3 linked regions of the Drosophila melanogaster genome follow. Changing the gene in region 2 together with the main gene of any one other region gives a genetic interaction. Each region holds a gene or a part of one and is shown on either strand. Other genes may lie near its edges. The genes, in order: Ras64B, sty and Edem2.

Evidence for each region.
Region 1: of sty (region 2) and Ras64B, changing one suppresses a phenotype caused by changing the other (phenotypic suppression), as found in Drosophila melanogaster (one study listed by BioGRID).
Region 3: of sty (region 2) and Edem2, changing one suppresses a phenotype caused by changing the other (phenotypic suppression), as found in Drosophila melanogaster (one study listed by BioGRID).

The regions. Positions count from the first base shown.
Region 1 is NT_037436.4:4,137,302-4,140,901, reverse strand, and holds the start of Ras64B (Ras oncogene at 64B), read right to left. Parts: upstream 1,827-3,600; 5' UTR 1,724-1,826; coding exon 1,643-1,723; intron 996-1,642; coding exon 908-995; intron 852-907; coding exon 442-851; 3' UTR 1-441. Other genes in the region: Rop (Ras opposite), read left to right, coding at 2,088-3,600. UniProt on the Drosophila melanogaster protein: May be involved in endocytic processes and/or other transport pathways mediated by vesicle trafficking. May interact functionally with ROP protein. Ras proteins bind GDP/GTP and possess intrinsic GTPase activity.
Region 2 is NT_037436.4:3,423,336-3,434,783, forward strand, and holds the start of sty (sprouty), read right to left. Parts: upstream 1,601-11,448; 5' UTR 1,090-1,600; intron 1-1,089. Other genes in the region: eIF5B (eukaryotic translation initiation factor 5B), read right to left, coding at 5,641-5,748, 8,869-9,030. UniProt on the Drosophila melanogaster protein: Inhibitor of tracheal branching that restricts branch budding by antagonizing the BNL-FGF pathway (BNL: branchless, an fgf inducer of branching).
Region 3 is NT_033779.5:13,185,859-13,197,306, reverse strand, and holds Edem2 (ER degradation enhancer, mannosidase alpha-like 2), read right to left. Parts: upstream 5,107-11,448; 5' UTR 4,668-5,106; intron 4,595-4,667; 5' UTR 4,365-4,594; coding exon 4,213-4,364; intron 3,837-4,212; coding exon 3,690-3,836; intron 3,635-3,689; coding exon 2,815-3,634; intron 2,743-2,814; coding exon 2,349-2,742; intron 2,175-2,348; coding exon 1,903-2,174; intron 1,727-1,902; coding exon 1,628-1,726; intron 1,558-1,627; coding exon 1,036-1,557; 3' UTR 26-1,035; downstream 1-25. Other genes in the region: CG16974 (uncharacterized protein), read left to right, coding at 7,734-9,734, 9,982-10,274, 10,343-10,974, 11,043-11,448.

The sequences.
Region 1 (3,600 bases), 710 kb from region 2:
TCATGAAAACATTCGTCCTTAATTGTTGTCGTTGATCAACAAAATAATATTACAAAAATATATGTAGAAATATATATGTATATATAAGTTATTCGTGTGAATCTGTTGTATATATCTACCTATGTTTCGTGTTTCTGTTTGCATTTTGCATTGTTAGTTGTCAGTTGTAAGATTCTTCGTAGCTATTTGAGAGTGGCGAAGTTTATTCGATTCGTTCGTTGAATGCGCCATGCACCTGGGCAGGTAAGAAATGCACTTCGTTTGGGCTCGTTGACACGTTTTGTGCGGTTACTGGTTTCGGGTTACTGGTTTATCGTCTTCTCAACGGAATTCAAAGCTCAGTCGACGCGTGTTTTTCAAAAAATTTGGTGTTATAATCATTATATGTTGGCTCCTGCTTCCGCTGCGGCATTCAGGAGATTCTCTTCCATTTAGTTCCTTCTACATCAGGCAGCACTTCCTCTTGCCCTTCTTCTTGTAATCCTGCTCGATGAAGGGACGCTCGGCGATCTGGAACTTGCGCACGATCCTCACGAGCTCGTGGAAGGCCTGATCGACGTTGACCCTCAGTTTGGCACTGCACTCGATGTAGGGGATCATCAGGTTGCGGCTGGTGTTCTGCGCCTCCTCCAGGGACACCTGCTGCTGGTGCTTCAGGTCGCACTTGTTACCCACCATCAGCATGGGGAACTCGTCGCGATCCTTGACGCGCAGTATCTGGCGCTGGAACTTGGGGATCTCATCGAAGCTGGAATGATCGTTGAGCGCGAAGACGAGCAGGAATCCCTCGCCGGAGCGCATGTACTGCTCCCGCATGGCACTGAACTCCTCCTGGCCAGCCGTGTCCAAAACTAGGTAAAATATCAGGTTATTATGAATCTGGTAAGGGTAAAGAAAGGAAGCTTACTGTCCAATTTGGCTGGCACATCGTCGATGTTGCACTGCTTCGTGTACGAGTCTTCAATGGTGGGATCGTAGTCCGTGACGAAGTAGCTCTGCAAGATTAGGATTAAAATTATTGTACCGCCAGCTGCCGAGGCCACAAAACTACATATATAAACATTATAAGACTGGGTTTTTTATGTGGGCGGGGTGCGTTTATCATTCCGCCTTTGATTTGTTTACACACGTCACTTTTATCATTCACTATCCACTATGCTCTATATATCTTGGGGAAAAGCTACAGCATATACACGAAAGATGTGCAGATGACGCAAATGACTAAAAATAAATGGAAGCGGGCGGTCATTGTGGTCGTGACCATGGCACAAACTCTCGGGGAATCGATCGGCACACCCAGAAAACTGGGGGCTGCGTCTAACGCAACTCCCTGGTTCTGGGCTCTGACCACTTGATCCCCAATTGGAGATACACACGGGGGTGTGGCCACCGCGATGATGATGCTGCCAATGATGATGATGATGATGATTGTGTTGGTGATGATCTCGGCCCGAAACTATGCACACGCATGTCCAAACACAGACGCACATCACAGTCGCTTGTTGCTTGTTTGTTGCTCTGGCCAAAACAAGGGCCGTCCCCCTGCCACCGCCCCTGTGCGCCATCGCCCCCCACTCCCACATTCAAACGCCCCTGTGGAAAGCGACGTCACCAGGGATTGGGCCGATGCTGGGCGGCTTACCTGGATGAACTGTATCGTTATCGCTGACTTGCCCACGCCGCCGCCGCCGACGACCACCAGTTTGTACGTTTGCATCTGCATTTCCCCGTTTAAATCGACCAGTTGGCCAGCAAAATTATTTTATTTTCCTTCCTCGACAGCAGCAGCGTGACCGTTCTCGGTTAACTGAGAAATCCACACTCGCACTGAGACGGGTGCGCGTCTCTGCTAGACAGTAATATCGATATCAACTATCGCTAGCCAGCAATCGACTTTCGCCCATCACTAAGGCTAAGTCATCAAACGAAAAAAATACAGAAAAATTGGCCAAGGAATAGATAAAATTCTTTAAGTCAAGTTAGCCCACGCGAAAAAGCGAACGGAATAAGCTAAAAAGACATATTTACACGCAGTGTGTTCATAATCGAGTTGCCTTTGCGCCCGTGACCAATAAAACGCAGTGAAAATGGCCTTGAAAGTGCTGGTGGGCCAAAAGCTGATGAACGAGGTGGTGAAGTACAAGCCTCCACCACCCAAAAAGCAGGGCGTTACGTCCGCTGCGGGGGCGGGCGGCATGGAATGGCGGGTGCTGGTGGTGGACAAGCTGGGTATGCGCATGGTGTCCGCCTGCACCAAGATGCACGAAATCAGCGCCGAGGGCATCACCCTGGTTGAGGACATCAACAAGAAGCGCGAGCCGCTGCCCACGATGGACGCGATCTATCTGATTACGCCGTCGGATGAGTCAGTGCGCGGTCTGATACGAGACTTCGAGAACCCAGCGCGGCCCATGTATCGCTATGCCCATGTCTTCTTCACCGAAGTTTGTCCCGAGGAGCTATTCAACGATCTGTGCAAGTCGTGCGCGGCCGGAAAGATCAAGACGCTGAAGGAGATCAACATTGCATTTTTGCCATACGAATGCCAGGTGTTCTCGCTGGACTCGCCGGACACATTCCAATGCCTCTACTCGCCGGCCTTTGCCTCCATTCGGAGCAAGCACATCGAGCGAATTGCCGAGCAAATAGCCACACTGTGCGCTACCCTTGGGGAGTACCCAAATGTGCGCTACCGCAGCGACTGGGACAGGAACATCGATTTGGCCGCGTCGGTGCAGCAGAAGCTGGACGCCTACAAGGCCGACGATGCCACCATGGGCGAGGGCCCCGAGAAGGCACGATCCCAGCTGCTGATCCTGGATCGCGGCTTCGACTGCGTGTCGCCGCTGCTGCACGAGCTCACCCTGCAGGCCATGGCCTACGATTTGCTACCCATCGTCAATGACGTGTATCGCTACACGCCCGGCCCCAACCAGCCGGATAAGGAGGTGCTGCTCGACGAGAACGACGACTTGTGGGTGGAGCTGCGTCACGAGCATATCGCTGTGGTCTCCACCCAGGTGACTCAGAACCTTAAGAAATTCACCGACTCTAAGCGCATGGGCTCGGCTGACAAGTCGTCGATGCGCGATCTCTCGCAGATGATCAAGAAGATGCCGCAGTACCAGAAGGAGCTGTCCAAGTACTCCACCCACTTGCATTTGGCCGAGGACTGCATGAAGTCGTACCAGAACTACGTGGACAAGCTGTGCCGCGTGGAACAGGATCTGGCCATGGGCACGGACGCCGAGGGCGAAAAGATCAAGGATCATATGCGCAACATTGTGCCCATCTTGCTGGACGCCAATGTCTCGAACTACGACAAGGTTCGCATCATTGCCCTGTACGTCATGATCAAGAACGGAATTTCCGAGGAGAACCTGACCAAGCTGTTTACGCATGCCCAGCTGTCGCCGAAGGATCAGGATATGGTGCGTAACCTTAGTTGCTTGGGCATCAATGTCATTGCAGATTCGCGCAAGAAGCAGTACTCGGTGCCGCGCAAGGAGCGCACCACAGAAAGCACCTACCAGATGTCCCGCTGGACACCGGTGATCAAGGACATCATGGAGGATTGCATAGAGGATAAGCTCGATCTCC
Region 2 (11,448 bases):
ATGTTTGCAAAATGGGTTAAGTTTTTAAAATTCTTGCTGAGCCTCAGCCTCCATGTGAGCTGGCATAAAAGGCCAAAGTGTGTCTCAGCTTTCAGCCTTCAGTCCGATCTTGATTTCGCGTCATTATGATTCGCATACAGATTATACAAATTTCGAAAAAAGATATATATTCGGAGGGTAGGGACTGGTTGGTCTTCATGTTTATGAGACATCTGCAGACAAACGCAGCGGGTAGCCGGCGAACGAAAACACGATCTCCATCCTCATCAGCCAAACCAATTTCATTTCGAGATTCGTTCAGCTGTCGGTATTTGTGGGCTACTGTTTCGAATTTTTCAAAGTCGCCAAATAATTTTAATGATCTGGCACAGCGAACAAAGTACTAAATTAACTTAAGAGCCTTCTTCCAGCCACTTCGCCCCACTCATCCTCGCCGATTCCGCCTTTCCCCCCATTTGGGGCAGTGAAAATGATTTATGGCATTCCAGAATGCCTAAGCTCTAAGGCTCAGGCATAAGATTTGATTTTTAGGTAGGGAAAAAGGGTACAGATGACAAATTTATAAAATTAAGACCTATCATACTATCGATTAAATGTTATTCCATTACTCAAAGCTCAAAGATATTGTAGGGAAATTGTTCATCATTGTTTGACTAAAAGAAACAATGTCACGAATTTATTTTTATCGAGTTGATCTTGTTTTTTTAAAATATTGGCTAGGATAGACTTTTCAACTTTTCCAGAAATTTAATTCCCAATTTCTACAAACTATACAACCGCGTATTTACTCAGATATTTAAGATTCAAATGGATGAACATTTTATAATACATTTATAATATCCTTGACAAATCTTCGATAAGATCTCTTGCATAAAAATCACTGGCATATAAATGACTTTTAATGCCTTTCCAACTGATGAGCACTGGTCACTTAACCTTTGGGTGACTTTTAGCTCTCAAGAGAAGAACAAAAAGTCAAGATCCAAAGTTCCAATTGACAATATGAATGACTTGAGACATTTAAGTGTTCTTCGACTGCGAAGGTTCATATATTGATAGAGATGGACAAGGGACAATGAAGCTACTCACCGGTGAAGGGAAGTTGCTTGATGGATGGGTTCTGGTTGAAAGTTTTCCTCGGCTTGGTCGACTCGATTGCAGATAATGCGGATAATTTGATTAGAGATTTTTTTTGGCTCGGTACAGCTCGCCTTTGTTCGTTCTGGTTTTTGGGGTTGATTGAGTTGTTTTGTTTTTCTGGTGGCAACTGTACTCAACGAGATGCCTTGGTTAATTGATTAATAGCACGATTAATTTGTAATAAAGTTAAAGAGGCTTACGCTATGTATGATTATGTTTTTTTTTTCAATGGGATAGTTTACTATTTAAAATTGTTAATTATTTAAAAACACGCGCACTTTTACTTGGATTCACTTAAATTACGCATACGCCGTGTGCGCATCTATTAATCGCTAATTGCGTTGTGTCTTTGAACATACAACTGTATATATATCGGGTATATATATTTGGTAAATAATTTTGCAAGCACAAGTTCTCGGAGATTGCACGTTGAATGCAGCCTGACTATCGTCCAGTGACTGAGCCAATGTTGCACGACTTTTGCATCGGAGCTGCAGCCTCACCCGAAGATTGCCGATAGGATCTCGTCCTGGAGGGGAATACCCATTCGTTGGGCCGAAGGTCCCAAAATCCGAAACACGAAACGACATTGCGTGGGCTTCGTGCGACATTCGTATTGTTTTCCGATTTCGGCTATTGCTGCAGGACTAATCCTGGCTCCTGGCTGCTGGTTGCTCCTGTTCCCAGCTCCTGGCTCCCAGTTCCCTCCATTTGCATGGCCATCCAGCCCCCTCCAATTGCCTACCAACCCACCAGCCACCCGCCACCCAACATCCTGGCCTCGGTGGCCCGGCCAATGAGCACTCGGCTTTCAAGGTCGTCCGTTTGACGGCCATTTTGAATGCATCGCCACTTTCAATGGGCGCCCACTCACACACGCCTGCATTTCCTGGCCCAATGAGCTGGGCTCTGGCCCACTCAGTTGCCTTGGCAACGACCTTCGGTAGGCGTCGCCTCGACATTGGCCATGGCAGTGAATTTCCACTTGGGGGTTGTTGCAATTACCCCCAAGGTCATCCGTTGTCCATCAGCTGTTCGGCCAGGGTTGCCCTGCCTCCTTAAGGCGGGCTTATTTGAAAATTAGCCAGCACCCTGTGCACCGCTCCCAAATTAAAATCGAACAGCACACTCAAAGCTCATTTCGTTTACTGCCCCATAAATTAATCAGTGAAAATAATAAAGATTTCAATATTATTTCCAACGACATCCGGTCGAATGCGGCACCAAATTTGGCGGAAAGCAGCCACTTCGCCGAGCTCCACATATGGGCGGTACGCATCACAATAACTCTACATATATATTTGTATACGTATATATTGTATATGTATAAGGAACATCAGAATAAAGAACAATAAAAAGCTAAAGTCTAACAAGAAAGCTGAGTGAGCTAAATTGGATTCAAAAACGAATGTGGATTACTTTCTTGAGCGCTAGGAAAATGTTATTTTAGGATGAGTAAGTTGAGTAAGATACTTTTTGAATAGCATTAAATAATAATATATTTTAAATACTTCCCAAGAACATAAAGAAACAAAATAACCTTTTAAGATAAGGGTATCCCCGAAAGAATTTCATTTGCTTTGCTGCGGAGTTGGACAACTGGACATCTGCCATTGTTTGGACCCTAAATTGAAATGCCAACCGAAATGTGAATCATTCGATCAGATCAAACTCGACAACAAAAAGTGGTCTGCCATTCAATTATATATACGTATGTATATTGGCCGAAACATTTTTGGGCAAACAAATTCGAATAAATGAGTGTGAATGCGAACGGACAGAATAAAAATAAATGAAATTTCATTGAACGAAAATGCTCAATGAGAAATCCGTATGAAAGTTGGCCAAGTTGATGTCTGGGTGTTTGGCTCTGATGGCTTTTCGTGCATTCAATCCGCAATGAATACGCCACCCCAGTCCAACAGTTTTCCCGCCTGACGTCACAAGTGTCCTAGATAATCGCCGCAGTGGCAGAGGTAACACATTGGCCTCGAGGTGAATGTCTAAACATGAACTCGAGGGCAATTTCAGACAGCCAAAAGAATAAAAATAAAAATCACACTCACAGCACAAGTGGCAGCGAGACGCACGTGCAAAATATTTATTTGGAAATCAGCGATTGGCGTGGTCGCTGTTTTTCTCTAAGCAGATCCGTTCCCAATACCACTTCCGTCCGATAATCGATGGGTTCTGTCAATTATTCGGAGTTTTAATTCTGAATTTTCGGAAGAACACGAAACACGATTTTTCTTAGCAGCAGCCAGTAGCGAGGGAAAAACCAAAATATGAATTGAATATGAATTAAGCAGTTTTTAGAAAGCGAGCTTCAAATCTTCTTAACTCAGATAAGCTTGGTTATAACAGTTAAACAACCAAACATGTTTATGCACTCAATGCTTTGGTAAATGTTCTTTCAGCCTGTCAGTAGTTATAAAATCCATTTTAAAATCCTGTTAATTTCCATTTGACTTTTATTTCACCTTTTCATTCATCCCACCAAATGCCGAGGCAAGGACACTCAAGTGGCCATCGAGTCCTTCGCCATGCGGTTCGTTTTCCTCAATGAGTCAAATGCCGCCCACAAAAAAAACAGCAGCAACACGAACGGCAACATCGGCAATCCCGCCGCGACAGCAGCAGCACGAAAGGATGAAGGATACAGGATGCACGATGGGTGGTGGCTGGTGGCTGGTGGGTGGCGACACTTACCTACCACAGCCGCTAAAGTCGTGCCCTAGTTCCACAGCCCTTTCGGTGTGGATGCCATCCATGTTGGCCATTAGTGCGCCTTGTGAATGAAAATCCTGGCTCTCGCTCTCGCACTCTCTTGGCGGTGGGGGTGGTGACTGTTTTCCCACCCAGTGAACCACGCTGGACGGGGAATGCCATTCTTGGATTTTCCCCAGCTTCGCGCATGTGCGTGTGTGTGTGTGTGCGTTTTGGCCAAGGCAAAAGTTGGCCAAGAAAATCAATGAATGAACCGAGGAGACACGTAGCCAGCCAAGGATGTTTATGTGATTTTCTATATGCAATCTTTATTTTTCCCTCAATGAATCGTACACGCTCGATGGGCATTCAGTTTGGCAGGGAAAATACAATTTCCTTTGGAAATTTTACTGCACCTCACGCCATTTAAGACGGAATTACGTGCCAGAAATAACGTAATGCGATACTAAAGCACTTGCAAATGGAACTTTTGCGAACCACTTAATACCGCTGCACTTCTACGTACATTGGGTGCTTTAAACTTTATTGCACTTTTTACGAGCCAGCAGCTTGTATCTTTATTATTTTATTTTTTGGACAACGCGTCCGGTCATTTTGACAGTTTAGAGACACCATTTAGGTAAGGGGTGTGTGAATAAAAATTTGAATTAATATCTGACATATCTGATATGGCACTTTAAATGGGAATTATGCGTATGCAATTTTTAGCTAGCTTTCAATTACAGAAACAGTGAAAAGTCATTAAACACAGCCAACTAAATTCAGTTTTAAATACCTCAAACTAAACTTCCTATTTCTTTAGCTTACCTTGGTCTCTAATTGACCTGCTTAAGTCGCTTATCCAATTTTAATCGACAGTTTCTCCTTGGCAAATCCTGCCCGGCAGCAATATCTGGCTCAAGCAGAGCCGTGTATAATGGCTGGCACTTGACAGAACATTACCTCGAGGACGAATGACGATGACGATGGCATGGGCGCACATCCTGCTGAACACACTTGGAACTTGGGCCACTTGAGGCCATTGAGGGCAGTACAACAGACCGTTTGAAGGATACTTTGCTGCAGGCAGCAACAGCAGCATTTGCGTCATTCACAAAACTGCGGCTCGTAACTTGCCACACACTTTGGTGCAGCAGCCGAGAGCAGTTGCTGCGACACAATTGTCCTTCCAGCGGCTGCTGGGTGAATGAACCTCCTCGGCGGATGACCCAGTTTTTTGGCTGCAGCAGCAGCAGCAGCCGCAACAGCATCTCCCCCATTCATCGGCATCCTTGTCGCGTTCAATGACACAGCGGCAGCAGCAGCAGCATCGGCGAACTGGCTATGAATGGGAAAAAAGGACCTCTGCGCATGCCAAGTGGGTCAATATCCTTTGGCGTGACGTCACTAGTGACACAGTTAACACAGCCTGCATAGTTGAATCTGCCACCATCCCACCGTTCTTTCACAACTTTTCCGTTGTACAACATTATTGCATTTATTTCTAATTTGGCTCTAACAAAAATCGCAGGCAAAATGGATGTTCGCAAAAGGCGTTATACAAAAAATTTGATTTAAAACCATTATAACAGAGTTCATTAAGCGACAACTGCAACGACGGCTACGGCTGTAAACCATAAAAATGAAACTAAGCTTAAGAGAAAGGATCCTCTGTTCGGGACTATAGAGGATTCACCACAAGCGCACACAGTCTGTAGTTTGATAGGGTTCTGCTTCCTTCCAGCGAAAATCTCTCGTCTGTTGCACGTTTGCAATTTTGGCAGGCGAAATCGCTTAGAGAATCTCGAAGAGCTTCTTCAGCTCCACCATCAGCGCCCAATCCGCCTTGATCAGATCGTCACGGAAGTAATCCTTGCAGGCATCAATGCTCTGGCGAGAGATCTGCAAGGAGAGTTCGAAAAAATGCCATGAAAAAGTTGAGAAATTTCAATAATTAAAAATCCATTAAGTTTCGAAAAGGCAAACCCCGAGAGAGAAATTGTAATTTTTTTTTGGCCCGTGTGTCTACAAATGCATATTAATAACACGCTGCGCTACACATAAATCATTTGCATTGTGAGTTCAGCGAATATGTATAATTGGAACGTGCCAATTGTCATAACTCCAAAGGGAGATTCGAGATGCGGACAGAGCGACTGCTCCATCAATCAAACAACGGGATGGCACGTGTCTTCAGCTCGGGGTCTCCAGTTCTCCTCCAGCACCCCATCAGACCCATCAGCCCCACCAGCTCCGCACAGTCCCCGACATATGGCGCATAACAATTAAAATCATTTTGTACAATACTTTTTTCCATCTTTTTCGTATCCGATTCAGCTTGAGTTTATGCCCCGGCAACGCTTTATCGAAGCTATTTTAGTGTCGCCAATTTTTATGGCGCCTTTTTAATGCGTTTTTTAATGCCTCGCGTTTATGGCGAGCAGTCTGAAGACCTCATGAATAGTTCCACTTTCAGGCCCCCCAAAAGTCTGATTACAGCACGCCCTTGATAAAGACAACACACTCTGTCCTTTGTCTGCCATGTTCCCCCGCTTAATTATTATTTCCATTTCCATTTCCATTCCCATCTCTCTCTTTTTTTTTGTTCATTTTTGGCGCATCGCATATTAATTAGGCTCGATCAATGGTTTTGATTATTGGAGCCGTATATATTTATGTAGAAAAGATTTCTCTAAACGATAAGGGGCATAAAGCCCCTCAAGGAGTCCCCATTTATGGCCATGCATATTAAATGACAGAATGGGCGACTCTTTTGTCCGCAATCCGAGAGTTGAAGGATATCGGAGGATTCAGTCGTTAAAAACCGAGACTGAGTTTAATTATACATCGATTGCTTATCTATGACCCGCCTAAATTAAAGTTTATTTGCCGCGCTGATTTCGTTTAATAGCCCATGTGAGTTCTGCAATCGGATAAAGCTTAAGAACTAAAACCTACTGACTGCTTGCAAGGGATTTTCCATTTTCACGAACTGCACTCCCCTTAGTTTCCACTGAAAACCCCCATTTAGCTGTCCTCTTAGCCAAATCTCGACTAATTGCAGCTATTTTTAGCTCCCACAAAGGCCTTGCACAGTTTTCTGACCGAGCCCGCAAGGCCGAAACCAAAGTCGTGTATGGTTGACCTCAGCTCCAATTTTCAGGCAGATTCGACGAGCTTCTGGGCTGGGGCTGGGACTGGAGCAGGGTTCTCCGCTCTCTGCTCCATTTTGGGTCGCCAAATGCGTCATAGCTGATAAACGGCGAGTGCACAAATTAAAGCCGAAAAAAAAAAAACACACAAAACACCGCAAACGGCGAAAACCGAAGCCGCTGCAGAAACACACACCGAAACTGGGTCGACATCCGAGAAAACTGGGTTAGCTCGATGGTGACGATGCTCCGGGGGTCAGTGAACTATGCAAGTGCACTACCGTGGAAGGTAAAACATGACGTCAGCCGGCAACTCGGGTCAAATAGAGCGCTATACCGTAGATACATATATCTGGGAGCTGGAACGGGTCACTCCCCCCGTAGAACGACCCTGCATGCTTAAGTACGTATCATCAGGTCAGCCATGACATAATACCCTTTCATGGCTCCTCCCAGCTTCTTTTGCACAGCCTTTATTGAGGTCTATAAATAGTCGGGGAGTCTGTCAATTCGAGGTGGTGGCGTACAACCTAATAGCTTTGGATGGAGCCTGCACTGCGAAAAGCCCATAAGATGAGCGATAAAATAATAATGTGATGGCCTAATTAGATTTAATTTGGAATGTAGGTTTACTCATTTGGCCTTTGCTTGCATTACACTCCCATCAATGCTATCAATAAAATTGAACTGAGATTCTATTCGTGCGTAAATATCCATGGTCAAACATGATTTTTGGCAGTGCAAACTATATCAATTCAATTTGTAGGCCTAAAAATACATCTATTCATCTTTGTTTTTACGCCGCATTAATTGAATGAAGCGCGCTGCCAACTAAATGGGCAATTAGCGCCGCCTGGCGTTTTGACGTCACCGATGTCACCCGCTGATAAGGGACCAAAATGAATCGAAAATTAAGTTAGCTATCGATTTTGGTTTTCAGCCACTCCCGCTCCCACTCCCCACTCCGCCACCACCCTCTCTCTCTCATCAAGGGCGCTTGACGTCAGAGCTGGTAAGTAATTGTTAATCAAATGATTGAACGAAAGGAAGTTGCAAAGACCTCTCAACGCCACTTAAGCCAGTTAAGTCATCGATCCGAGGCGTTCGTTGCTGTTGTAGCCATTTAACACTTAACACACAACTTGGCCATGTAATTTGATAAGCCAGCTGGCCAAAGTGGAAGTGACCAAGGTGAGGAGCTCCGAAGGTCTGAAGGTCCGAAGGTTTGAAGGTGTAAGGTGGAGAAGCGGTGAAGGCGAAGTGGGCCTGCACCTGGCCATCGGACAAACGGACCATCCACCCAATCCAGGTGCAATTGACAACTTTGGCACTTCCCCGTTGCGATTGCTCGATTGCCGCTGCCGTTGAACTCAAGTGATTTGCACTCGAAATCGCACTGAATAATGGCATCCGGCATTCGCTCAATTACGGCGCATTGATAATGGAAGTCCTAAAGCTTTCGCGAAATTAATTGAGTAAAATGCAATATTATTCTAGCAATCCATGCGTAATTCAAATCATTTAATTAAGTTGAAAGGTTTGATTCTGCGAATAACTACGTTGCAAATTTACGGTTTAAATATGTTTAATCGAAACTGCGTACAAAAGAACCGAGTAAAAACACAAAAAAAGTGATATAGCTGAGTTTATAATTGCACCACTTCAGATATCTAATCCATTCATAAACACATGCCCACCAAAACGATGATAGTGCGGTTCCTCACTTCCCGACAATAATGCACTCGACTCGAGCCTATCTCGAGTTTTAAGTTGATTCTTCCGCTCCCGAATTCTAATGAATTTATTCTACCGCCCATTGTTTTGAGTAACCTCAAGTGGAGGGTTCTTTAAAATCGATAGATGGACTTACCTTGCTAATCAGCATATCATCGGCCTCGAAGTGGCGACCAAACATTTTGGGCGATTCACCGGGAATCGGATCGATTTTCACGCAAATCTCTTGACCCTTGCGCGCGAATTCGATTTGCTTGTGATTCGATTCGATGGAAGTCACGATTCCAATGTCCACGAACTGCAATCAAACGAAAGAAAGAGAAGAATTGGTGGTCAGTGAAATTGTGAAAGTGATTTTAGCATACGTGGCCGACGGGGCGTATGTGTAATGTTGCGGCAAATTAGAAATAATCAGATGGCCGCAGTGAACTTTTATGGGGTGGGACTTCCGCATGTCGCCGTCTGAATCGCTGATAAGTTTCACCAGCTCGTTTAATATGCCAAAGCCGTAAAATAACTCCACGTTAAGCGCTAAATAAAAGGTTTGCCAAAAAAGTAGAATAGGCCGTGTGGGTGGGGAATCAAATGGCTGGTGGATGGGTGGGTCTTATCAGCGCATCTGGCGCAAGTTTCATATGCGGTGACCACTTCCTCAATTCCACTGATAAACTCGTGGGTGGGTACACTGTACACTGCAATGCCTATCTATGCTTTGCTTACATTTAATTATATATTAAAACTAACATAAATTTAAAACCCATTTTTGTTAAGTTTCGACTATTAAAGTGAAATTTCTATCAAATATTTTCACAGCTTAAACGAAGTCAAATTAAAGTCCCTTTTGGACCATTGATTTTCTCGCTGTGCATGGGCTCCTATCTCGATGGCCTAACAAAGTCATTGAACCAAATTGTAACATGTTTGTTGTCGTAACCCGTTTGCACTCGACAAAAACAAAACAGGAAACTGTTGCCAACGTCGCGTTTCCTGTGGGCGCCCCAATGGCGTCGACGTCGCTGCCCTCGTTCGTATTTCATTCAAACCAAATAAATTATTGAAATTCTTTTTTTTTTTTGCTTTTCATGTTGTTGTTGTTGTTGTGCTGGCCTGTTGCTATCGGTGCAAATAGCTACATAGCACATTTACACACCCCCTAGAAGGAGAAAGACGGGCGAGGGGATGTGTGAGGGGAGAGGGAGCATTTGTCACCATTTCCTGTCGTTGATTACTCATACGCCCCGTTCCACGTCTTCCGTTGCGGCGTCTTCGCGTTTTCGCGCTCTCTTCGAAATTTTCATTAAATGTGTTAATTTATTTCCATTTCCACACAATTTTTTCTTTCAACATTGCGCTACTGCGGTGCGAGCCGGCAATTTTCGTCTTTTATGAGAGCAACGAAATCATCCCAGTGGGGGATATTTATGATAGATATGGTATGTATATACTTATATGTATATATGTTGCAAAGGAATATGGCGAAAAAAAAAAACAACCCGGCCCATACCAAACTCGCACCAAATGATGAGAGGAGAAATTGATGGGCCTGTTGATGCAAGTGGCAAAAAAGGAAATCGTCTTCCAGGGAGATAAATCGGTTTAGATTAAAAGTTCTATTCGGGTAATATTATTGGGACGTCTATACTTGTTTTTGTCTTTGCATAATGTTTACAAAATTCTTTAAATTTAAAACAATTTTTATAGGAATCCTTTTTTACACAAAATTATAAAAAGAAAAAAAAAGTTCTTGTGAACATCCAATTTAATAATTTAATAGATTTCTAGCCCTATCAAGTCATTTAATTTCCAACTGTAAGCACAATTTAAAACGACCAAAATAGTGTGATATACTTTCTGATTTCGATGCCAAAGAAAGCGAATTCTTTATTGGGCATTAAGAAAAAATTCGATGACGATGCGGCCGTCTCGTCTCGCCGAAAAACCCCAAACAAGTTGACTACGAAAACAACATTTTACATTCCTCTTTTTTTTCCCCCGGTTCGATTTTGTATATTTTTTGTACAACTTTTTCTGGCTGGCAGATCGCTTGGCTGTGTGTGTGTGTGTGTGTGAGTGTATCGGCGTTTATCTAAAAATATGATTTATATATTTCGTGCAGACCGGATGTCGTCTATTTTCGAAAAAAGCGCTGCTTGTATGAATGAACGAAAACAACAAATCGAAAGCGAACAAAACGAGATTCAAAAAGCATTTGGCTTTTTGTAAAATGTTTGATGGAGAGCGGCGACCAGAAGAGGGACAAACACATAGATTGTGTGCTATCTTTATTCTTTTTTTTTTGTTTTTTTTTGGGCAGCGCAAACATTTTAGTGACACAATTCTCTGATTTCTTTGCAGCTTGTTTATGCTGTTGTCAGCAGGAAACACTAAATTAGTTGACCGTAGAGAGAATTACCCCATATATATACCGCATAATATATACATGTGCACACATTTTATATGTGTCAAAGACGAAAATTCGCAACATCCGTCGCGCGGGGGACTCGAAAAAGCAAATCTTTCAGGGCCTTTGAGTCTGCGCAGCTGCAACTTCGAGTGGCCTCGAAAAATACAAAATATAAAACGGTAGCCACATCAATTCTTCCAATCTCGGCTGCCGGTCTTGGATTCTCCTCAACCAAATCTTCAGCCCCTCGGGGCTGACGATCTACGCTTTTCAAATGGATCGAGAAGTCTGGGGCCCCACGAACTTGCCTAC
Region 3 (11,448 bases), on a different chromosome or scaffold from region 2:
TGAAATAAGTGTTTTTGTTTCTTTCGTTCTTTTTATTTTTTCTAAAAGAAAAACAAAACTAGCTTAAGCTATCGTAGTTTTAGGCATATGAATTCAACTGTTTGATTTGCTACTATCGACTGAAGTAGTAAATTTGTCATATTTTTAAGATTAATGGAAACACCAAAATGGAAAGAAATTAATGTCATTAAAACGGAAATCTATTAAAAATACAACGTTTTTGTTTGCATCAATTGCATCTAGTCGATTCACAGATATGTTGTCATCCACAATAATTTGGTTTATAATACTCGATCACGGATTTCGAGACTGCCTTTGGACTCGCATCCTAACGAAGTTGGTTTTTTACTTCAGTTGAATCTTGATTATATGGATGAGCCGGTCACCGAGATCTTCGTGTATTGGAGTACAAGGGAAGGTTAATCCTATAAGATCTCAGGGGTAAAATCATAGCTGGCTCTTGAGTATTAATGATAAAACGAAAATGCCTTTGGTTTTTAATTATAGTTCGTATATTTTAAACTAATTTTGTATAATATCTAATCAATTTCAACTACTCTGTTGTCGATCAATTCCGACTGTCTACCCTATAAACTAACTTCTTAAAACTAATCATTATTTACGATTTTGTTAGTCTCTAAGTTCTAAGTTTTTATATACAGAAGTTTTACTTACATCAAAAAAGTAAAATCCATCGAAAAAATTGTGAGGTGGACCAAATATACAATTAGAATGAACGCGAATGCGATGCTATTCGGTTATAATATAGCCACTAGGAAGCCAATTGCCTGCCTGAGAACCAACCACGAAATGCAAAGATCCCTAAACTGAGTTCCATAACTCGTGGCATTAAATCGCTCTTACATGTCTAGTAAAGTACAGGAAATTCCAATTTAGTTACGTTCGCTTACTGTACACACGTTACGAATATAGAGAATATACATATCTCTATTTTGGCGAGAACCATTTCAAGGCTGTATCAAGCCCCAAAAGAAGAGTAAACGCTGAGGGTGCTCCGGCAGCCGTAGCAGTCCACTACAATTCTTTTTCCGGTTTCTGTGCTACCGACGCTGTTTGGTTCTGGCGCTGCTCCTTGGCCAGTTGCCACCGCTTAAACTCCACCATCTGCATGACGCGAACACGCAGAGGTTGTTTCCGTCGCTGCATGACCGCCGACAGTTTGCCGAACTCCATGCTGTACATGAATACGACTGGAATGAGCACGTCGTCCTTGCCGTCGCCAGACATTGCGAACATCGGCTGCGTCTCACCGGAAGAGCCCGGAACATTATCACAGACAATCAGCGCCGCCGCCCCCACCTTCTGGGCCAGTCGCGCTTTGCTAACGAACGTGCAATCGCCGCGCTCGGCCACCAGGACCTTTCCTTTCGCCTCCTCGGCGTTCTCTAGGCTCTCATCGCATGCTCGTAGCGGCTTGGCCAGAATCACGTCCCCTTCGACGAACTGATCGCCAGTTAACTCTGGGCTAAAGTGCGACGGCCCGGCCATCAGTGCGATCCAATCCTGTGAGTTCTCGTCAGTGGCGTAGGCAACGGCCTATAAACGAGAAAACCATTTCAAATATCATTATGATGATTTCCATTTAAAATGTATAAAGCATGCAAACCTGCAGTTGCGCTAGCTGATTTATGCTTTGCATCTTGGTCAGCTCAAGCATCTCCTGCATAAATTGCAGTCCCATTTCGCCCTCCTCGTGACTTTTGGCCTGAATAAAGTCGAATTTATATTATTATATTTTTTCTACGATCTGTGTGCTGATGATGATGAGAAGGAAGAGTAGGAAGCGAAAGATCGAGGAGGAACTGGTGGCACAATGGTTACCAACCAGAGTGTCAAACTAAATGCAAACGAAACCAAAAAGCAGAACAGAAAAAAACTTACATTATAGAAACTATGAAACAGTCGCACCTTGCCTTGGCTGCGGTCGCCTACCGAAACCATGGTAATGCCCATGTCGTAAACAGCTCGAAGATGATCTGCATTGCTTGCCTGAAAATCCAGGGCGCTGAGTCGCTTTCCCGCTGTGGTGCGAGGGCACGAGCCCGTAATGAAGTTGCGCAGTGGTTTGCGTACTTTTTCAGGAAAAAGCCTATTTGAACTGGGGCAGGTGCGCATGAAGTCGAGTACGTTGTGTTCGTCCGTCTGGCGAAAGCCTGTAAAAGAATGGAAAACATGAATAGTAGTTCTTTCAAATGGCCAACTAGACTATCAGTACGTTAAAGACAAAAGAAATTGTTGCAAATAAGCAATTGAAACCTTTCCAGACCTATAGATGGAATTACTGATAGCGTTGCGGCGATTACGTAAAACAATTTACAAGTACTTACTAAACGTGGCATTCCCTAGTTGGGCAATAGAGAGCGGTAGCAGATGAGCCTCGGTCGTGAAGACGAACTCATCGACGTTTATGATCAGATCCTGGGGATCGGAGAACAGTAGGAAGAGGTACTTGATCGTCTCGGAGAGCACAAACGAGTCCATGCGATCCTCATGCTTGCCAGTCCGTACATCATTGACGGCCGCATAGCCGCAAGATACCTTAGCATGCTGCTGGAGTGTTTTCAGAGCCTTCTTGCCAACCTGCAGATAATGATGATCGCCAGTGGCGCGGTACAGGAAGTAAGTGGACTCTATAAATTCTGGTCGCAGGGGATGCTGTCCCCAATGGATCTGGAAGTCGACGGTAAATGCTTCTGGAATGAAGGTGTGCATCTGCATGACCTGGAAATATGTTTAAATATATTTGTAAATCAAATCACATTCATTGGTGGCTTTGGAAAGGATGTTACATACCTGATAGAGCATCTCGTGTGTCTGCACAGCTGGTTTCAGATCGCCCGATAGCACCTGCAAGCCCGGCCAAAATGCCAGAAGCGAGTCCATGAAGTTTTTGGACTTAGCATGTGGCCTGTGCATGAGCACGTCGAGTAGCATGGGTCCTTCGCTGACGTACTTCATCACTGCGTTGTAGTGGCGATTAAAGCGTGCCAGGTACTTGTCGTCACCCAGTAGGACGTACGACTTGAACAGGTACTCATAGTAACTGTCGATGCCAGCTCCGACTCCAGAATCGCGACGCACCCAATCGCCCGAATGGACATTAAGTACCGTGCCCATGAGATCGGAGCCACGGTGCCTTAGCTTCCACAGTGCATCCATGGCGGCGTGAGCTCGCACCTCGAAAATGGGATCGCCGGTGAGACGCGACAGAGCAGCAAATTCCAGAAGGATGGTACCAGCACACGCCGTACACGTTTCACGGGACTTCTTGAGCATCGGGTCCTTCATGCCCAGGCGGAGATTAACCCGCGCATGCGGAATGCCCGTGGATGTGTTGAACGCCGGTAGCAAACGGTAGCCCAGCTCGCGAGACATCTCCAGCAGTTCGCCCTTGTACCAATGCATCGTGTCCGCATGCTTTTGCAGATACTCCGCCAGGATGTGCGCCGACAGCAAGCCACCGACCATTCGAATGTTCGTCTCAAACACCGACACAATAATGTCGCTGTCGAATTGAACGTCGCGGATAACTAGCTTCACCGCGTGATCAAACTCTGTGAAATCGCCCAGGAGCACCAGAGTGTCCAGAGTATCCACCAGAGTCATGGAGAAACTAAAAATAAGAACAATGTTAGTAATCCCTCCAAACCTTAGGTTTTTGAACTCACTTTCCAAGGATGTCGTCCATGTCGCCACGTGATGGCGTCACTCCTCGGTACCGTCCTTTGCAGGAGAGCGGCATAAGCTCATCAGCTGGATAGGCGTTCTGCATGTAGGCGTTGTATGCATGATAGAACATATCGCGAGCCTCTTCCCTGAAAGCAAATGGAACATATTGTATACTTGAATTTACTTTCTACATATGTGATTGTTCAGAACAACTTTTAAGCTTAAGCGTTTTAATATGACTTAATATGAAAGTCATGGATATATAATTCGTTTTTATAAGCATCACATTTAAATGTATATCCATAAATGATTAAAAACGAGTTATGCTAATTTGACCTCGTCGTTTCTGACGCATATATGGGTTACATTTAAACAAATTGCATAGATCCCTCGTAAAACCAGAGTACATTAAAATATTAATAGTGTTTCTGAAACTTTCTTAGTTTGGTAAATAAATAAAAATAAGACGTACAGAAGTTGCCCTGGTCAGGAAATACAAGGAAACGAGAAGCTGAGACTTACCGGAGTTCCGCCCGCTCCTTATTGGACATGTTCTGCGTGGGCATGGTGGTTTCGGTGCTAAGGACGCAGGCAACTACGATGCACATGGCCACCAGGAAGATGAGCATAAGCCGCTGGCCGCGGACAAAGGATTCGGAGGATGTGGTAGACATGGTGCTGGCTATCTGGAGACTACCGATGGCGGCGGCGGTGGCGTTGGAGGTTGTGCTGGTGACGGCGGATGGCTTTGTCTTTCGGCCGCCAGACTTGCCGCTCGAGTCGTTGTGACGTTGACCTTCACTTTGAACGTGTGGTGTTGAAACCAATGTTTCGATGTCTCTCTGTCCCGCTTCTTTGTTGACTCCGCTTTGGGCCCGTGGTCCGCTTGAATTGGCTCTGCAGCCTAATTGAAACAGCCAACTCATAATTAGCTTATAACTTAACAAGTAATTTTGTTCGACTGAAATTAGGCTTACCTGTGCCCGAAATGTCGACCTAATTTGTTGTTGTTTTTTTCCCGGTTTGCACGGGCACTAGAAGATCGGGTCTCTGTGGATAAAACTGGAGCGCGCTGCTTCTACGGCATCTGCAATTGCACATTCATCCTCCCAACGACCGCGACAACTGCGACACACATCGTGACTATTTATAATCTCGTTTGGAATATGTTTTCTGCTCCAATAACAAAACACCACGACGGCAAAGCGAGCGTCAGAATCGTAAGGTTACTGCGGCCAGCCGATCGGCGGGGCATTACGGCTCTCTATTATATATCCAGCTGAGTCTGTTTTTATAGTTATCCGAGCTGCTGTGCTGGCAATTATCAGATCGCTGCTTATCAACGATGAACTCAAGATTCCTTAATTTTATCACGAAAAAAAAGTGATTGCACCCTCAGTGTGACCAGCTGTGCAGCGGGCGGAAGAGAGTGGCCCTCCGCCATTAAGCTATTGTTATAAGCTAATCTTTAAAATTATTTTATTTATGCTCTATATTAGTTGAATAAGTTCATTATTCTTTTCCATTTTATAGAATAACGATAATATAAATATATTAAATTTTATCATTGCACAGCACTGGCTTTTGGTATATTTCAAACGCCTTTTCCGACTACCTTCTAATGCGTATGAGTATACTTCAACGGTTCTTTTACGGCCACACTGTAAGCCAGACGAAAAAAGACGCGAAAAGATGCAGATAATATAAACAACGGTGAGATAATAATTAAACAATATGTCATAAAAGACATATTTATTGAGTGACTAGCTTATTGGGGTAAAAAACATAGATGTTTCTTTCTATGTAGCCCAGTGAAAAGTTCAAACTTTCGACAGATGCGAGTGTGTGCGTAGCTGAAACGGCTGCTTCAGGCACAAAGGGTGAAAAAAATGCGAAACCAGAAGTTTCGGTGGCTTCATAATTACCTGGAATGAGATACTCCCGTTATTTCTCGATTTACATCCGAATCCGAGCCGCGAATCGTTGCCCTTGGCAACATCTTAAGCTGCAGCACCTTGCACATTACATGCATATGTATGTACATATGTGCTCACACACGCACACACTCACTTGAGATGAGTTTTTCCAAGGTAAAAAGGAGGCGAAAAGCGATGAATGAATTATGAGAGTGGGCGGAGCGGCGAGTAAATCTTCAATTTGGTGAACGATTCCACTTGCGGGGCAGCAGGGAATCTCGGCTAATTGGCCGTTTTACTGTCAGCCCGACTCATTAGCGGCTTTTCACATGTCACCAGGTGTTGCAAGTGTGTGCGTGTGTGCGTGTGTCTGTGTGTATGTATCGCATGTACATTATGTACCCGCACTGTATACCCAGTTAAACGGTTGTTTTGAGCTCGGATTCCATGACAGATTATGCAACCCACTCTATCTCCGTCTCTTTCGGTCTGCTCCGATTCTTTGGCTTAACGAAATTGACATTTAAATTAATGGAAAAATATACAGCTAACTGGCATATCAGCTGATTAGTCTAATTTATTGGTAGCACCACACCAATTTGGCAACTACTTTCTCGCTCTGCGAGGCAAACGTACATATGTACATACATAATTTAATTATTGTCTTAGATTCGTGGCACTTTTTTTTAGCCATATTTCTGCATGTGTATTTCGTGTTTTTTTACGTCTGTATGCTGGGCTATTTCTGTATCGGTTTTTCGTTATTTTTGTTGTTTGCATTTGTTTTGGCCAGATTTCTGCTGGTGTGTTGAATATTCGCCATCAACAGTCATATTTACTTAGCGATTCAAGCTCTTTGGGAACTGAGATTAAATGGAATACCCCTGCGACCATCCATCTTGATCACTTTTCGCAAAGTGCCGGCTTATCAGTTTTATGGGCTCATTGCTCTTATCAGCTTTGGCCCAACAGCTGGCCACCAACCGTTGTCAATATCAACAAATAGAAAAGCTTTACGCCTTCCATATTCTATATATGTGTAAATATATTCTACGTGGCATCGGGGGTCAGTCACTCGAGACATGGGCTGTATTATACAATGAATTATTTTATAGTTCTCGCGTCTTTTTATCCGAAAGCCATTGAGTAATAATCTTGGCAACTGAAGTATACCATATATTGTACGTAATTGCTTTGTTGGTGCAGGTTGTGGTTGCTGGGCGGCATTTCATTCGATATTTCTGTTTATAAACAAATGCAATCGGCGGCATTAAGGAAAATTTAAATATATGCTAACTTATAATGGCCACTTGCTGATTCACAGCGTTGCGGACTACGTTTGTTTTCCTCACCATTTATCTCAATAAAACTTGACGAGTACTTTAAGATCTCAAAAACCTTAGATTTAAAGCAATATAAAATAATTGAGCAATTTATAGCTAGATTTAATCTTTATTTGTATCAAAAACAATTACATGTTCACCTAAAGTATTCGCTTAATCTACAGACTTTTTTGTTAAGTGTTTCTATTAAAACTTCTACATTATAATAACTTTTTAGTTCCTTGCATGCCTTAAAGTTCTTAATCTTCATTGCGTGCGAATGGAAATCTGTCGTTGGAGAAGTGGGAACTTGTCCACATCCAGACAGACACTATTATAATGCATTATTAAAAGAAGAATACTACAAAAGTTCCACCTCTTTACGGTTCCAAACATTTCTGTGCGTCGCCATTTGGACGCGCAACTGGACGTCGCGTCCTCCGCCTCCTTTAGACCACCGTTTTATTTATGTTATTTACCTAACTTATTGATTTTGTCCGTTGCCCAATCCCACTTTTCCCTTCTCCCGCTGAAATGAGAGTTGCGACACATATTTTTTGGGCTCCCGAAGGGTAAAGGCGAAAATCAATAATGACCAAAAACCTGAATTGGTTTAATTTAGTGTCCAGACATCCAAAAACTTCGAGATGGCTTGTACCGTTGTACGAAAAATATAAAGTGAACATAGTTGATTATAACACAATATAAAATTAATATATTTAGCAATAAATAATATTCTGAAAACCCTCTTATCTTACAGGTGTACTATGCGACCGTACAAATATTTGAGATTACATACTGAAAAATGGAAGCAATATCGAAGATTTCCTTGATATTGTGTGCCTTGTTTGTCGGGCTCAAGGCCGCAGCGGCCATCAGTGGTGACAGCACCCACTGTCTGGCCACATACAGCAGTGCCGAGGCGTACCTGGCCCAAATCCCGCAGCAACATCGTCCACAGATCAGGCCCAGGATAAGGACCTGGCAGGAGCACGAGTTCTCACTGCTGGGCTACAAGTTCCACCTACCGTTTGTGGGCCATGCCGTCGACTCGGATCTAGATGATAGTGACAGTGATGAGGGTCTGTGGCTGGATGCGGCGGACGCCGGATCAGAGAGCGTAGAGGTGGAGGAGCATGAACTTCCTTCGGTCGGTCACGTCGATCCCACGGGCAATGTTTTTAAGCTTAACTGCGAGCATGTGGACCTGAGGCGAGTTAACCAGGAACTGCTCTCCCAGCGAAGCTCGCACATTAATTACAACCAGCTGATGCTGGCCCATGTACCTGCGGATCGCAGTAATCCCCTGAAGCTGCCACAGCTTGAAAGTCTGAGGGAATTCAGCTGGCAGAGTAGTGAACTTAAAGATGAAACGCTCATGGAGCTCTTCACCCGCCAGCCGCGCTCCTTTGAGTATATGGAACGGCTCAATCTCGCCGAGAATCGCCTGGAGTGCCTTCATTGGGCAATTCCGCTGGCCGTGCGGCGCGTGAAAGTACTTGAAATGAGCGGTAATCGACTGAGCAATTGCAGCCTGCTAAACCTGCAGTACATGAAGCAATTGCAGGAGCTGCACTTGGACAGAAGCGAACTGACCTACTTACCGCAGCGCTTCCTGGGCGAGCTGAGCGAATTGCGCATGCTGAATCTCAGCCAAAATTTGTTGACTGAGCTTCCACGAGACATATTTGTTGGAGCCCTGAAGCTTGAGCGCCTCTATCTATCCGGAAACCGGCTGAGCGTTCTGCCATTTATGCTCTTCCAAACGGCAGCCGATCTTCAAGTGCTGGACCTCAGCGACAACCGCCTGCTATCGTTTCCGGACAACTTCTTTGCCCGCAACGGCCAGCTGCGTCAGCTGCACCTGCAGCGAAATCAGCTTAAGTCCATCGGCAAGCATAGTCTGTACAGTCTGCGCGAGCTGCGTCAGTTGGACCTTAGCCAAAATTCTCTGTCCGTCATCGATCGAAAGGCGTTCGAGTCTCTGGATCACCTGCTCGCCCTGAACGTGTCCGGCAACAACCTGACCCTGCTGTCATCCATCATCTTCCAGTCGCTGCATGCCCTCAGGCAGTTGGATCTCAGCCGTAATCAGTTCAAGCAGCTGCCCAGTGGCCTGTTTCAGAGACAGCGCTCCCTGGTGCTGCTGCGCATTGATGAGACGCCAATAGAGCAGTTCTCCAACTGGATATCGCGCTATGACGAGTCCCTTGTGGATCCGCAAGTGCTTCATCGTTTGCGTTACCTTTCCGTGCAGCAGAATCGAAAACTAACGTATTTACCCGCCACCTTGTTCGCCAATACTCCGAATATAAGGGAGCTGCTGCTGGCCGAGAACGGATTGCTGCAGCTGCCCACGCAGATCTCAGGGCTGTCACGATTGCAGCGACTCAGTGTGCGAGGAAATAGCTTGGGATCGCTGCCCGAAAATATCAAAGAGCTCAGACAGCTGCACTACCTTAATATATTGGGCAACGAGTATCAGTGCGACTGCAGCATGTATTGGCTGACTGCCTGGCTGGCGAATACCAGCACAAGCCTACGCCACCAGATGCCCCAGGCACAGAACCATAGCAATGGCAGTACCAATCAGACTCCACTGGACTCGTACGAGAGTATCGATCATCAAATCGATGCGCTCAAGTGTCAGTATGGTTATCGCGGCGATATGCTCCGCGTGCTAAGCAAACTCAACTGCTCGGTGCCCACGGTGGTGCAGTTCTCCGAGCCAAAGATGCACAAGCTTCTCTCCACCGCCAAGCTGGAGTGCCAGATTTCGGGGAGCCCAGTGCCGGATATCATCTGGGTGAGTATAACATCCTTGTATTGTACTCATATTTTGAGTTTATCGTGTTCGTTTAGGAGTAACTTAATGTTAAAAGAATATGTTCATATAGCATTGCATATTATTATATATTTAAATATCCCATGATATCGGAACTTATTATGCCCTTTTAATAGTTAATCCTTTAGCTTTCCTAGAGGTGACTAAATGTATTTTTCTTCCATGAACTTATTATGAGGCACAGAGTTAATCGTTTACCCCTCATCAGGTGACACCGCGCAATAAGATTTTACGCCACCATGCTGATCCTGACAAGCGCCCGATCATCATCGACAGCAAGGAGGATGCTCACCAGCCACCGAGTGCCCAGGAGCTAGCTGCTCTGATGGACGAGAGCTACATTCAGTCGTTGAACTGGACACGTCAGAATAGTCTAGTGGGTCGTCGAGTGGTGCTGGTGGAGAACGGATCGCTGCTGGTGCACAATATTTCGAGAATCGACAGTGGCCTCTACACTTGTTATGCCTTCAATGTGATGGGCAAAGCCTCTGCAGGATTACGGTGAGAATAATGGCGACTATTATGTTTAAATACTTCTTCAAAGGGTTTTTTTTTTCCTTTTCTCGCAGACTGTACATCGATCCCATTGTGTTCTACCGAGTTAAAATCGGTAGCATTCTGTTTGGCACGGCTCTGGCTACCGCATTCCTGCTGCTAACCCTGATTGTTCAGGGATTGAGGAGCTGCCTGTCACGTTGGGGCATCTGTAACCGTTTCTATTGTTGCGTCAATCGTAAGAAGAAGTCACCGCGCAAACACCAAATATACGCTATGCTGGACAGCATCGAGACCTACAAGAGTCAGCAATTGGAGAGGCTGAGAGAGAACTATACGCAGCAGGTGCACCGCATCCGGGAGAACTGCGCCCAGCAGGTGGAGTGGATCCAGAGCAGCTACACCAGCCAGGCCAAGCATATTCGCGAGTTCCGTGACATAGGCTCGAATCATCTGACCACGCTGAAGGACCAATACTACGATCAGGTGAAGAAGGTGCGCGACTACTCCACAGGCCAGTTGAGCTGGGTGCGGGAAAACTACGTCTTCCAGAGGAACAAAATCCGGAAGTTTAGTGCGCATCAGGTATTGCGCCTCCGCGAGGGATACAAATACCAACAGCAGACGCTGAACAAGGTGCTGGAGAACCTTCCTAGCTTCTACTTTGAGAATTGTCGCGGACGATGTGAGGAAGACATTGCCGAGGGTAAAATATTATAACAAACTACCTTTAAGTCGTATATATATTAAATTTACTCCTTTTTTTTTCATCAGACATAGACTGCTACTTCAAAGGCCAAATGGACTTTGGTGACTCCAAGGAGCTGCACATACAAAAAATTAAGGCGCGCCTATCTGCTAATTACTCAGCCAGCAAGGCGTCGCTTTACTATACCCCACCAGACGATGACTTGCTGCATAGCTCGCAACTTAACCTGCAGAACTCCCCCATCCACATCAACTACATTGATGAGAATCTGGATCAGCAAAAGCAGTTGGAGCACGATTTTAAAATGGAACCTCAGCTATTGCTTTACAATGCCTCCATGCTCTATATGAATCCCGAAGGCGCCAGCAGCAGTGGCCAGGCGGCGGCTTTGGCGGCAGCAGGGGCTCTATCGCAGTTCATAAGCGTGGAGGACAATAATCAAGAGCAGGAGATGCAGCCGCTAAGGAAGAT